2 linked regions of the Caenorhabditis elegans genome follow. The protein of the gene in region 1 purifies or fractionates together with the protein of each later gene. This does not show direct contact. Each region holds a gene or a part of one and is shown in the gene's direction. Other genes may lie near its edges.

Region 1 (7,240 bases):
AATCCAAATTTAAAGTCTGGTTTTTTAAAAATTTTAACAAACAATTTTTAAAAATATATTTTTTTTTCCGATTCTATGTTGAGGTTTTTCAGAATTTTAGTTGTTAAAAAAAGTAATGATAAAAAAGTAAAAATTGTGAAATATTTTGAATTAAAAAATTAGAAACTTTATTTATTTCAGTTCGGGTTCATCGTCATTTTTCTGAAAGCACCTGGAGAAGATCAACGGCTACGAGACGGTGTTCCTGTATTATCACAAAATCCTGTGTGGTCAGTTAATGACTGGAATGGTTTGAATAAAGAAGTCGTAGATTTATTGAAAAATGAATCGAATCGTCTGTCGATTAACGAAAAGCCCGATTTGAGTGGATGGAATTTTAAAAGTTAGTTTTTCTTGTTGAAAAATTCGTATTTAAAAATAGTACTAAAACATTATTTTTTTAACAAAAAAATTATCATCCGTTATAAATATATTATTATAAATCGTCAATTTGTATTTCTAAAAATTAATAATTTCAGCTAAAGAAGACATGTCACTGAAAGGATCGGAAATCGTCGAATCTGTTAGTTTTCTTAATGAAAATTTTGACATTTTGAACGCTGCGAAATTTGGAGATTTGTCCACTGTGAAGACAATTCTAGTGATTCAGGTAATTTTTAAGATGGACTTTTATAGAAATTTGAAAAAAGTTAGTTAAGTTACACTTTTTTGTTGCAAAAATTGTTCTTTACAATACAAAAAAAACTTTAAAATATTGGTAAACTATAATATGTGTATTTTCTATGGTTACCATCAGGGCCGAATCTGAAAAAAATTTATTTTCAAGATAAAAAACAAGATTTTTCTCCAAAAACACTTTTTTGAAATTTTTGGAACATTTTTGAAGAAAACATATTTCCCGAAGTTGCACACAATTTCGTGTGTGATTTTTATTTTTGGAAAAAAAAACTTAAAATTTAATATTTATGAATTTTTTCGCGTTTTTCAATTTTTTGAACAAATCGAAAATAAATTTCTTTCCAAAAATAAAAGCAACGAAAAATCTACAGCCCTCGATCATTACCAAACATTATTTATTTTTTATTCAAAAAAAAATTTCTTCAGGTACACGATCGGCCGGTCTATTTGCAATACCTCATTGAGTCAATGCGAAATACAAAAGGAATAGAAGACACATTACTAGTTTTCTCGCATGACATCAATGTCGGAATAATCAATGAAATGATCCGTAACATCACATTCGCTCGTGTCTACCAAATCTTCTATCCATACAATTTGCAACTGTTTCCGACAGTTTTTCCAGGACAGTCTCCTTCCGATTGTCCGGAGAAAATGAAGAGAGATAAAGCACAAGAGACGAATTGTTCAAATTGGAGTAGCCCGGATAAATATGGAAACTATCGAGTAGCTCAATTGACACAGATAAAACATCATTGGTGGTGGAAGATGAACTTTGTGTTTGATGGAATTGTTGAGAAGTATTCGATGAAAGATCCATGGGTTCTACTACTGGAAGAAGATCACATGCTGGCTCCAGATGCATTACATGTTCTTGATATTATTGTATCAAATCGTCCAAAATATTGTGAAAACTGCGAAATAATATCTCTGGGATTTTATTTGAAATCCACTAACAAATACGGTCAAGACATAGCTCATCTCGGAGTTCACCCATGGTACAGTAGCAAGCATAATATGGGAATGGCTCTTCAGAAGAACACGTGGCAGAAGATCAAAGGATGCTCCGAGATGTTTTGCAAATGGGATGACTATAACTGGGATTGGTCGTTGATGCAGATTTCAGCAAAATGTCTACCTCAAAGGTTTCGGGTCATATTCACAAAAAGTCCACGAGTTATACATATAGGAGACTGTGGAGTCCATACGCACAGGTTAGACTTTATCGAAATAATCAACTGTTTCAACATATTTTGAAATAAGCTTCAGCATCCCGAGGATCAGTCATTAATTGAAAAATCTCAAAATTTAATGTAATTTTTCAAAATTTCAGATGTGAAGCACATAAAGCTCTCCAATCGACACAAGAACTATTCCGTCAGCATAAGGATCTTCTGTTCCCGACAAGTTTATCTGTGACAGACACTTCGAGAAGATCTTTGAAGCCGTCGAAAGAAAATGGTGGATGGGGTGACATTAGGTAGGGCTTAACAACACATATATTTAGTAAATTATAGCCGAAATTATAATTATCGAAAATTCAGCATTTATCTTGATATGCAATTTTTATCAATTTTTTAAAAAATTTAACTTCGTTTGCAGAGACCGTCAACTATGCGAAATCAACAAATCTCCATTGGTTAGAGTTTCTTCTCAATCTGCATCTGTACTCCATAAATTGCTCAACTCAAAAATCCAGTTCTCGTCATCCAACAAAACAATCACATCTACAACTTCTTAATCTTCAAAACTTTCCTCTTTTACGGATTTTGTTGACTTGCCTCTTCAATATATATTTTTTTCTGTAAGAATGGTGCCCATTTCTAGTTTCGTTTTCCGGTTCTTGTTGTTTTCTACTTGCTTCCCTCTTGCATAATTAACCATAAGATGACGTTGCTCGCTTACAAATACGGGTTTCTTACCGCTTTTCCTGTTTCGTTGAAATTTCCACCCTGTTTCCAAATTCCCCACCTCAATTGCATGCTAGTGCTCCTTTCATTTCTCAAAATCATAATGTTAATGGTATTCCGCATTTTTCCGGGTCTACAAAAATTATATGAATGATTCAGATTTTTAAAGATGGCATTAAAGAGCAAATTCGTATAAACTATATTAAAGCTAGAACAGATTTCCAAGATTCTTTCAATAACAATTAAATTCGTAATTTCGCAGATTTCTGAAGTTTCTACTTATAGGCGCAAGGCTTCATCTGTGGAAGCAAAAACAAGTGACAAGGTGCACAGTGTTTCAAAATGTATCCGTTCCCTCTTCAGATGGTCGAGTTGGGACCAACTGAAGTATTACCGGTACAGAGAGTGTAGATAGTTAGAGAGTGACAGACATCCGGGACTCAATGGGGCGGGGCGCGCGGAAGAGACGATTTGTGTCGATTTACGAAGTTTTCCTCGTTGTCATCATTTCGTAAATCGACACAAATCGTCTCTTCCGCGCGCCCCGCCCCATTGGGTCCCGGATGTCTGTCACTCTCTAACTATCTACACTCTCTGTACCGGTAATATTAAAATATCACATATTTTCACTGATGTTTTATTTTTACTTCCTTCTATACACATTCAAAACTCCGCCCATTTCAGAGCAGTTTTTCTTACAGCTCTACTAGAAGCTTCTGGTTGTCATGATCACAATATCCCAAGAGAATGCCAATCATCTAACTATAAAACCCTTAATCACTGACTCTTCTGCTCAATTTTTGTGCATTTTCGATCGGTTAGTGAGTAACATTTTCTTGTTTTTCACCTCTTTTTGATTTAAAAATAGTTTTAAAAATTGTATTAGTTGAGTCAGAAAACACTTTTATAATGATACATTTGTTGCCGGATTCTGATTTTTTCAGATCATAAAATCCTTGGATTGAAAACGATGTTTCTGATATATTGATTCTGCTTTAAAAACGAGAAAAAGGTAAAAAACGAGTTAATCTATTTTTTTTTGAGATTCGGGATTCTGTTTGTTTTATTAAAATTAATCTTTTGTAGGAATAATTCATTCAAGTTTTCTTGAAATTATTTAAGATTTCAAGGATGGGAGATAAACTCCCAATTGTTCAAGTTGTCATTCAACTTGTAACATTGATTGCTTCCATTTACTCTCATTGGCAATTTATCAAAGTTGCTGTAGTTCGGACATACTTCTTCACATTCACAAGGGGCCAATTGGGTACAATCAGTTGTGCATACGTACTCATTACATTTGGAACATTCTTCATGGCAATTTGTAAACTGATTCCTGATACTGAAGAGATTCAGAGAAAATTTGAGAATGTCAATGTAACCATGGGATTTATCATCAATTTCACCACATTTTTCTACTTTCTCGGTAAGTTTGAAACTAGCTTATTTCCGACAATTTTCTATCAGTCTTATGCCTTGAATATTGTCCCTATTTTCTACAATTTTCCTTTCCAGATGCACACATCGGACTCTACAAAAAAATGTTCGAAAAAGAGGCCACAAAAAGTTTCATGCTAGTCTTTTTCACAATGGTAGTTGCGTACATCTGCTTCATTATTCCTGAATTCACTCATCATGGCAATCTATTCCAATATTCGGATGAGATTTCTATTGGAATGTGCTTGATAAACATCGTCGTGAGTGAATCTATTTGATATTAAATCCAGAAGTAAACATGAAATTAATTATAGATGAACATTTTTGTACGTGGCGGGAAGAAGGTAGCTATGGAAAGAGAACTGGGAAAACAAACATTGAAAGTGAGATTCCAGGTGAGACAATTTTTTAATTAAATCAATTAATCACACTTTGAGCAAAACAAATATTTTTAAACTTTATCTTCAGATTTCGGAGGCAATTGAAAACTGCAGAGTGATGTTCTATATCACTACAACACGTTTTCTGATTCTTCTCTGCTGGATCATCTTCATCTACATTCCATCGGATCTTACAGAACCATTCCGTTCTTTTGCCACTGTAATCTTTGAAATTCTAAAAAGCATCGAAGCGATTGTGTTCCCTTCCGTGTTTCTTCATTTTCATGATCGCATTGTTCGTCATATTTTCTACCTGGCGACAAAAGACCTGAAAGACCCTCCAACTCTTGAACCAAGGCCAAGATTTGATGGATCCAAACTTCTTGCTGAAATGTCTCAAACGGAAACAATTGATTCAATGAAGAAAAGTTGGGAGAAACACCACAAAAAGTTCATGAAGGATAACAAACGAAATGTACCTAGTACGAGCAATCAAATATTATTGGAAGACGGCTCACGCGAAATTTTGGAATAATTAATTAGCCGATTGCCCTGTCACTTCTGTCAATTTTTGTAGAAAATGCTGAGTGCACGTAATCCGGTTTCCTGTTTTCTTCTGAAAGTCATTAAAATGTTTTTTAATATTCAATTTAGAGAACCATCTTTCTCAAACAATTGTTTTTTAAACATATTATATTTAAGCTCCAATCAAATAACATATATTTACCTCTATCTCTTTTTTGTCACCTCATTTAAATTGAACACTTCCTCTATCTCATTTTTATTTATGTGATAAAATACCGTTTTATTGTGATTGCGTCAAGCGAAAAATAAAACCGAATTACAAATACTTGAATAAGTAAAAACTATTGTTGCCATTTAACGGGAGAATCTATACATTTACAGGCAGCAAATTTGTGTACTTGTGCAGTATACAGTGCTGGCCAAAAAGATATCCACTTTTGGTTTTTTGTGTGTAACTTTTTTCTCAAGCATCCATTTGACTTGAATTTTTCCGTGTGCATAAAGCGAAATGTTTCGCAAATTAAGCAAATAAAGTTTCGCAAAGAATTAAATTGTTTCGCAAACGAAACGCAAATTTGCGGACCAAACATTACATGATTATCGATTTTTTCTGAATTTTATTTCAATTTTTTGATTTTTTCGTTTTTCCAATTTTCATTATTTTTTTTGAATTATCAATAAAACGCACTCTGTTTGTTGCACTGGATTTGTTTGGTTGATAAATTATTTTTAAGGTATGGTAAAATCTGTTGGGTGTAAAAATCTTTCCTTGGACGTCAAGAAAGCCATTGTAGCTGGCTTCGAACAAGGAATACCCACGAAAATGCTCGCGCTGCAAATTCAACGTTCTCCGTCGACTATTTGGAAAGTAATCAAGAAGTACCAAACTGAGGTGAGTTCGAAAAATATTATTTTTTAATAATAAATGTTTAGAAATCCGTCGCTTTGAGAATCTCGCCCGGCAGGCCTCGAGTGACAACCCATAGGATGGATCGCAACATCCTCCGATCAGCAAGAGAAGATCCGCATAGGACCGCCACGGATATTCAAATGATTATAAGTTCTCCAAATGAACCTGTACCAAGTAAACGAACTGTTCGTCGACGTTTACAGCAAGCAGGACTACACGGACGAAAGCCAGTCAAGAAACCGTTCATCAGTAAGAAAAATCGCATGGCTCGAGTTGCGTGGGCAAAAGCGCATCTTCGTTGGGGACGTCAGGAATGGGCTAAACACATCTGGTCTGACGAAAGCAAGTTCAATTTGTTCGGGAGTGATGGAAATTCCTGGGTACGTCGTCCTGTTGGCTCTAGGTACTCTCCAAAGTATCAATGCCCAACCGTTAAGCATGGAGGTGGGAGCGTCATGGTGTGGGGGTGCTTCACCAGCACTTCCATGGGCCCACTAAGGAGAATCCAAAGCATTATGGATCGTTTTCAATACGAAAAAATCTTGGAAACTACAATGCGACCCTGGGCACTTCAAAATGTGGGCCGTGGCTTCGTGTTTCAGCAGGATAACGATCCTAAGCATACTTCTCTTCATGTGCGTTCCTGGTTTCAACGTCGTCGTGTGCATTTGCTCGATTGGCCAAGTCAGTCTCCGGACTTGAATCCAATAGAGCATTTGTGGGAAGAGTTGGAAAGACGTCTTGGAGGTATTCGGGCTTCAAATGCAGATGCCATATTCAACCAGTTGGAAAACGCTTGGAAAGCTATCCCCATGTCAGTTATTCACAAGCTGATCGACTCGATGCCACGTCGTTGTCAAGCTGTTATTGATGCAAACGGATACGCGACAAAGTATTAAGCATAATTATGTTGTTTTTAAATCCAATTGCTCATATTCCGGTACTTTAATTGTCATTTCCTTGCAACCTCGGTTTTTTCAATATTTCTAGTTTTTCGATTTTTTTGAATTTTTCTGAAGTTTTTTCAAAATCTGTTGAACATTTTTGATGAATATTGTGTTTTTAGATTTTGTGAACACTGTGGTGAAGTTTCAAAACAAAATAACCACTTAGAAAAAAGTTACACACAAAAAACCAAAAGTGGATATCTTTTTGGCCAGCACTGTAACTGACCCAAGAATATTTTCCTGTACTTTTTGTATTTATTTCTTTTGAAAATGATAATTTAATTGAAACGTCAAATTGATTTACATTTTTAGGCTTTGTAAAACACTAATTCTTGATTGAACAAACCGAAACTTAATCAATTTAAATCGAAGTTTAACAGTTTGATAAATTTTTATGATGCTCAGATTCAAAGAGCAATAAATCAACTAATAAATAAAACTAGACTTGGAAAA
Region 2 (7,829 bases), on another chromosome or scaffold:
TTACACAAAAGTAGAATAATATAATACGCGGGGACAGAGATCACTTGGGTTTAGAAGCATTAGTAAGGTAAATGTCCATGAAAGCGGCGACGAATCCTTCAAGATGGAAAATTGCTTTTTGTCCGAGAACAAGGCGATGCTCGAATTTCGCTGCTTCACTGACAACTTCACGTGCAATTTGTGGCGGACATTTGGGAAGGAGATGCTCGAGAAGTTTCTGAAAATGTATTTCTAAATATTTTTGAACATTTTATACTATTTGTGTGCTTATAACTCACCTTAAAAATGACAGTTGGTGGAATACATCTGGAGAGCAATTCGTACAATCGTTCGCGAACTTTCAGAAGCATATCGGAGCTCTGTTTCTGGAGGATCAGACGAGCAGTCTCTTGGATATAAATCTCCCATTCCGGAACCGGAATTACTACACTTTCAGCCACACCACTCTCGTTCTCCATTCTTAAAGCCTCAGTCATCAGAATAGCTCTTCTCAGATTTCCTTCAGACTTCTCCACAATCTTTTGCAAAACGTTCTCCGGAAGTAGAAAGCTCTCCCGTTCAATCACTTTCCGCAAGACTTTGGTCACATCTTCATCGGTTGGAGCTGGCACATTGATGATGATGCAACGAGATTGAAGTGGCTCAATGATACGGGACAGGGATTCACAGCTCAAAACGATTTTACAGTTATTCGCGTACTTCTCCATAGTTCGACGAAGTCCGTGTTGAGCATCACGAGTCAGTGAGTCCGCTTCACAAAGAACGACAACTTTGAACGATCTTTGAGAAGTTGATTCGATTTGAGACGTTTGTGCCATTTCTTTAACGAGATCCTGCACAACAACTCGATCATAGATTCCAACATCAGACGGCGTCATTTCGATGTGATAATTGCTCGAGACAGTCTGTATTTCAAGTTTTTTATTCGACGGACTAGTGAACGACTTCATGATGAGCTGCGTTTTCTCGACTCCAACACCGTAAAGCTCTCTGAAAAATATTATTTTATTTACTGAATTTACCAATAATTAAACCTCAACAGACACTTGATCCGTGTCTTTTTTCCAGCTCCACTGGGACCACAGAACAAGAGATGCGGCATACAGTCTGCGGAGAGAAACTTCAAATGATTGGCCTGCTCGATGTGATAATCAACGCCATCCTTTCCCAACAAGTCCTTTGGTCGATATTTGTCCACCCACAACGCCATTTTTGCACTAGAAAAGATTAATATTATATTGTCAGAGTAATTAAAGTCCAAAATAAGCGCGAGAAATAGAAGGTGGAACCCGAAAAGTAATTCCGCGGCACGCGCTTTTATGGTAAATTAAAAAATTAAACCGTGCCGCGAATTGCGCTTCGGGAATCCGGATCCACCGTATATTTCTTGCTAAAAAAATTAAAAGACATATTCAAAGATATCACAATTGTCGCAAACAATTGAATAGAGGAATAAATAAATAGAAAATAAATAAAGAGAATTGTAATAAATTAAAAGAATTCATTTTCAGAAACTCGACAAGTCAACAACGAAATATTTTACAGGTTTAGCCTAGTGAGACGAGTGAGTGAAGATAAATAAGAAAATAATTGAGATATCTACTTGATATTCATTTTACGCTTGAGTGCGATAATGTCGTCACGGCGCTTCTTGTTCTCCACTTGTTGTTTCTCGAGGTTCGTGGCAGCTCTTCCGGGGATTAATCCTTCCTCCAGTGCCAAAGTGAACTCGCGATCCGTCAATTGAGTCGTGTCGACGAACACTTTTCTCGTAGAGTGTGGTGTGTAACCAGCACGTCGTGGAACTAAAAATTGCTATGAATTAGCGAAAAAAAGATAAATATGAATAGTTACCTCTAGTTGGAGTGGTTCCTTTTGGCGTGGAAATGTACTCGGTGAATGTATCATCTTCTGGGACAGTTGCAGGAATGATTTTTCGAGAAGTTAAACGGCATGGTTTCGGGATTTGTGACTTGGTGAGCTTCTTCACGTCCACATGAGATCTTGCAACGGACTTTGTCTTTTTGGTAGAGGTGGTGGCAGCAGATGACGATGAGCAGCCAGCTCGTGAGCTGACAAGAGCGGGAAAATCATCAGCAGATTTATCCCCGAATTGGAAGGACATTTTCTCAGGATCCTGAACTTGCCAATTGCGCGCAGCAGATCTTGTAGTTGATCTATCAACTGGGTCACGTCTTGGCACACTTTTCGGGGTAGCAAGTCTCCTGATAGCTTCTGGGACGTCGCCGGTCATGAATTCGTGTCGTTTCTTCAATCGTTCTTGACGCTCTCCGAGTGTTTCTTCTTTTTCCATCTCTCTTGCATGAATCATTGCGAATCTGTCTCTTCCACTGGATGGAGCACGCTGACGAACTGGCGTAATTCCTCTGTTCTCGATCGGCATTCCTGGTCGCTCAGATGTTTGAGGAGTCGACGAACTAGCGCGGAGAGACAGTCTTGTCGAAAGACGATGAACTCTCGGGCGTGACTTCACCTCGAAGCTTTGCAGATCGATTCCCAAACTGCCACAGAGACGGTTTCTCAAGTCATCATCCAAAACGACAGCAACCGCATTTGTCGGAGTATTCTCGTCTGTAATAAAGCTGTTTAAATTTCAACTAAATGGAATATAACTTACGAACAAATCTGCCAGTAGTATTCTCAGTTTCTTCTTCCTCTTCAACTGTGAATGTGCGATTGGCAGGTGCTTCGTCGGTGTCCATAGCCTCGGCTTCCGGCTCTTCCCTGATTGCCTCCCCGTTTCCGGCATTATTTTGGCCAGCGAGAAACTGAAAAAGTTAAATTAATCACATTGTTTCGACTGAGTTCAAACCTCCAAAAGACGCGATTGAAGTTCCGATTTCTTTCCCGCAGTCGAAGCCCTTTTCTTCTTTAACTCCTTGCGAAGCTTGTCGCATGTCATGTTGAGCACGTCCTCTTCGGCGAGCTCTTTATTTTTGGCTGACATTTTACTGAAATTATTATTTTTATTGAATAGTGAGAACAGAAAAGCAAATGAAACAAGGAACAAATGAACAAGAAACAAAATAGGACTCAAGAAATTTCCCTCCATCGCTGTTTGAAAAATTGTGTTTTTCGCGCGGTGTACGTTGGAGCGCTGTTGCTTTCTTATTGTGTGTAGTCCTCTCGAATAAAGAAATCAATATTCGTATTGTTTATTTCGTCTGAAATTATTCGTTTCTTCGAAGAATTCTTCTCAAAATGGGCCTTGTGGATTACGCAGGAAGTGAATCAGAAAGTGATGAAGAAATGGAAACACAACAAAAAGTAAGCAAATTATTCTTTATTCAGTTTGAAAACATTTTCGAATTTTCCAAAATTTCAGAATTCACTCGCTCCACAAAATCAACAACTCGTCGATGATGAAGCATTTTTTGACAATACAGAAAAATCAAGCTCACCAAACATGAACAAAGAAGATGTTCTCGAAGAATTAGTAAAACCGAAAGAATGGGAGGTTAAATTGGCCGAGAAAGCAAGGAGAAAGCTGGAGAAAAAAGCTCTGAAAAAAGCACAAAAAGAAGAGAGAAAAAAGGAGAAAAAATTGGCGAAAAAAGCGATGAAAGTTGAAAAAATTCCGAAAATTGGTGGTGGAATTCAAAAAGCAAAAGGAAAAGTTATAATTTCGGCGTTCGGAGCTCTCGCAGGAATTACTGGCGAAAATTCCAGCGATGACAGTGATAATGAAGGTGCTGCTGTTGCTACAGTTAAGCCGAAGCTTGGAAACAGTTTTTTGTCAAACCTTCCAGCTCCAAAAGGAAGAGATAATCGTTCAGATGGTGCAAATGTATTCGATAAGTCCATGGTTCCACATTCAGTTTCTAAAAAGGTAAAAATTGAAAGTCGAGTGCGGATTCTGAGAAAATATACTTCTGATTTCGAATAACTAAGTAAAAAAATTTCCCTAATTTCTTATTTCAGCTTGAAATCGCCGATTTTCATTTGCGTCCCCATGAGATTTCCGAATTTTCACACCAGAGACGTCATGTGTCGATTTACGAAATGTGTGTATATTTACGAGATTTTCAATCTTAATCGGATGCTGATTTCCGGTTTTCTCAATTTTCGTCAGTTTTTGCCGAAACGTTTTTTGAAAATGTGTTTTTTTTTGAGGTTAATTAAACATTATAATATCAAAAAACTAACTAAATATTCGATTTTCAGTCAGGAAAAGCATATATTTGGATTTTCCGCTGAGTTGTGACCTAAGCATTGGAAATTTACTTGGTTTTTTGATAATATAATGTTTAATTGGCCTTAATAAACACATTTTCTCAAAACATTTTGTCAAAAACCGACGGAAATAAAGAAAACTCGTTGAAAAACAGAAATCAGCATCCGATAAAGATTGAAAATCTTGTAAATATACACAAATCTCGTAAATCGACACACGGCGTCTCTGGCGCGAAAATTCGCTGTTTCAAGCTAAAATATAAAACCGGGGAATTTTTGTTCGATTTTTGTCCCCATAAATATTAAAAATCAGGATAAAATTTCCAGATTTCTTCACTGAATTTTTATTTAATTTAAAACTTTAATTTTAAAACTCTTTCTCTTCCAGGCTACACCTGCTGCTGCTCCAGTTTTCAAGCCGGCTCCAGCTCCAAAACTGCCAGACGACAGTGATGACGATGATGACGGTCCAACCGATTTCTTCGGTTTCTCATCTGCTCCAACTAGAAAAGAATCAGAAATTCCATCAGAAATTCCATATATGACAATGAACAGCAGCATGGATGTAGTTGGGCCATCCCGTCCAGATGAAGGAATGGATCCTCGACAAATGTATGAAATGCCAGAAGAAGAAGAAGATGTTCAAGAAGGTCCATCTGCTTCAAATGCCTGGCTTCATCGGAAGATCAATGACGAGCAAGCTCATAAGCTTTTGATGCGATTCTCTCATGATATTGGACAAGAAGAACGTCGTTCGATCAACGAAATGGCCAATTCAATTGTCGATGTGAATGTGGATGATGCTCTCGGACCGGATGTTAAGACAAATATTATCAAGAATCTTGGACATCGCGCATTTGTTGAAGCAACTTCTGCTCCATTGCCACAAGTTCAAACTCAAGGACAAATGTCGAGAAGAAAGCATCAAATTACGTATTTGGCCAGCTTGGTAAGAGATATTCCAGATTTTATAGATTTTCAGGCTTTTACTTGCATCAAAAACCCAAAAAAAAAATCGCGAAAGAATGGAAAAGTCAATTTTTTAAAACTTATTTCTCATTTTTTGGCTGAATTTCTTGATGGAATATTCGGTCTTCAAAAAATTGAAGATTTAAAAAAAAACGAAAATTTTCAATTTTTTCGAAAACCGACAAATCGGAAACAATAATTTTACGGAAAAATACGAGAAAAATATAAATTCACCGAAAATGCAAAATCAATTGATTTCAATTACAAAAATACAGTTTTTTTTTCAAAATTAACAATTTATTTTAAAAAAATCGAAAAACCCGATTTTAGCCAAACAAAAGTGCAAAGTTGTCCTCGTGGAGTATGAAATCTGCGTAGATCAACACTTTTTAAGAGCTTGTGCTAGAAATCACATAATTCACTTAATTTCAGGCAGTATCCCGCGAGGAGCAGCTCAAAGATCAATGGGCCGATCAGAAGCAATCGAAGCGAATGGCGCGACAAAAGTACGGATTCTAATATCATTTCGAAATGTCTCATTAATCATTCAGTTTTCTCTCTCCCTTGTATTTGTGTGTTGTTTTGATGATAAACACCCATATAAACACGAAATGAATTCATTCGTTTTGAAAGTATAAGCACGTTATAATGATGAGAAAATTGCGCGATCGCTCGTTAAACGGGCATTAGCCGGCAGAGTACATAAGGCCGATTGGAAGGCAAGGAGGACAGGCAGAGATTGTCTGAAATGTCGAACAACTTCATTTGCGCAGCCGTCTCGGTTTCGTCGATACTCGTCGTCGGGTATATTACAGCGGGGCTGCTCATTTTCGCAGATTTTCGGACTTTTTATTCCACGGCACTTGATGACGTGGCAGAGTTCAATGTGAGTTTTTTCTGTAAAAAACACGACAATTTTTCGTTAAATCCAAGAAAAATCGTGCGCCTTTAAAGGTTACTGTAGTTTCAAACTTGTGCTGTTGCAGAATTTTAATCGATTTTCCGCGTGTTTGTATATAATTTTTAACAAATAACTATTTTTAAAACAATCGATGAAAGTTCTGCAAGAGCAAAAATTATCGATTTTTTCACAGTTTTTTGGCAAATATAACAATAAAAACACGTAAATTCATGAGAAAAACTGTGAAAAACCAGATACAAATTACGTAGCAACGAAAACACAGTACTCTTTAAAGGCGCACACCTTTTTTATTTAACAAAAGTTTTTCGTGTCGAGACCGGTGACCGTAGTTTCAGCTCAAAATGCACAAAATTTCTCGTGTGGGATAATAAGAAACTATGCGGAATACCAAGTGTTCCTTGTGGAAAAACATTAAAGTCTCTGAAACTGCAATAGTATAGTTAAAGATAACATTGATTCGAAAAATATTATCAAAGTTTTTTTTTTTTGAAATAATTGCTCACGACTCACGGCTCACGACGCGGCAATTTTTTTCATCAATCTGGCCTAATTTTTCAGAAGTTCGCAACTGAAGCCTGGGATGATATGATCGAAATCAATCGCTCCGTCGTAAGACAAAAGAGAAGTGGAGAATCAAAGTGTGGATGCATGAATAAGGTCAATAACTGCCCACCCGGACCTGCAGGACCACCAGGAGAGCCAGGAGCCCCTGGAGATGACGGATGGAATGGAGACGCAGGACAACCCGGACCAGACTTTCCACTCTTTGATCAATCCCTCATCTATCAAAGACCCCCATGCATTCGCTGCCCAGTCGGAGAGCCAGGACCTCCAGGTCCAGACGGAGAGCCAGGAGAGCAGGGACCACCAGGACCACCGGGAGTTGACAACTTTGAAGTTGGACATGATGGACCACCAGGTGTCGAGGGAGAACCTGGAGATGCTGGAGATCAAGGAGAAGACGGGGAGCCAGGTGTCGATGGAAGACCAGGCGCCAGTGGAATCAGAGAGATAGGAATGCCAGGAGCACCAGGGGCACCGGGTGTTGCAGGAGCTGAAGGACTCCCAGGCAAGGATGGAGAGCCAGGAATTCCTGGGCCAGAAGGGGAAGAGGGACCACCTGGAGCAGCAGGATTGGATGGAGAGCGGGGAGACGAAGGGGAGCCAGGACCTGAAGGACCACCTGGAATCCCAGGACCTGATGCAGCCTACTGTAGCTGTCCACTTCGTTCGGCACGTCTTGTCTTCTAATTTATTCCGAAACATTTTTTTTTATTTAAAAGAGTTTTTATTTATACAATAAAAATTAGCAGTTTACAAAAATCTTCACAAAAACGACAAAAAACCCGTTGTTCTAAAAATACATAAACCCAAATTATGGACATTAAAGCAATGAAATCAAGGAGGAATTAAAGTCGGGACGACGCAACGTCGTCGTTAATTCCAATCCGTTCCAAACTGTCAGTTGATGTTCGAATCGGCTTGGATTGAAGATCATCGAGACCTGAAATAATTCCAATAATAGCTGACTAAAATATACGTTTCCCCGACACCATACAAGAACAACGAGCACTTACCCATTTCCGCTCGGAACTTCTTCCGATCCGAGACCAGCGTGAGTGAGGACACAAAGTACAGTCCGGCAGAGAGCAAAAGCAGTGCCACGCAGCAATACGTGGCACTTACCAATGAATGATATTGATCTTTAGGATATGTGGATCCGTGGCGGATTGCGTCGGAGATT

Evidence for each region.
Region 2: the proteins of C03E10.3 (region 1) and prcc-1 fractionate together in Caenorhabditis elegans (co-fractionation; one large-scale study listed by BioGRID). This does not show direct contact.

Annotation. Positions count from the first base shown.
Region 1 is NC_003283.11:11,283,287-11,290,526, forward strand, and holds C03E10.3 (G protein-coupled receptor), read left to right. Parts: upstream 1-3,127; 5' UTR 3,128-3,190; intron 3,191-3,289; 5' UTR 3,290-3,405; intron 3,406-3,532; 5' UTR 3,533-3,600; intron 3,601-3,674; 5' UTR 3,675-3,719; coding exon 3,720-4,014; intron 4,015-4,103; coding exon 4,104-4,285; intron 4,286-4,339; coding exon 4,340-4,420; intron 4,421-4,493; coding exon 4,494-4,940; 3' UTR 4,941-5,254; downstream 5,255-7,240. Other genes in the region: gly-20 (Alpha-1,6-mannosyl-glycoprotein 2-beta-N-acetylglucosaminyltransferase), read left to right, coding at 181-382, 519-649, 1,105-1,892, 2,012-2,158, 2,281-2,419.
Region 2 is NC_003282.8:13,089,150-13,096,978, reverse strand, and holds prcc-1 (Proline-rich protein PRCC), read left to right. Parts: upstream 1-3,183; 5' UTR 3,184-3,222; coding exon 3,223-3,288; intron 3,289-3,346; coding exon 3,347-3,850; intron 3,851-4,582; coding exon 4,583-5,143; intron 5,144-5,595; coding exon 5,596-5,682; 3' UTR 5,683-5,792; downstream 5,793-7,829. Other genes in the region: rfc-3 (Replication factor C subunit 3), read right to left, coding at 41-217, 279-990, 1,035-1,210; C39E9.12 (SAP domain-containing protein), read right to left, coding at 1,600-1,805, 1,855-2,592, 2,639-2,789, 2,834-2,968; col-132 (Nematode cuticle collagen N-terminal domain-containing protein), read left to right, coding at 5,912-6,049, 6,644-7,336; spin-2 (Major facilitator superfamily (MFS) profile domain-containing protein), read right to left, coding at 7,495-7,589, 7,663-7,829.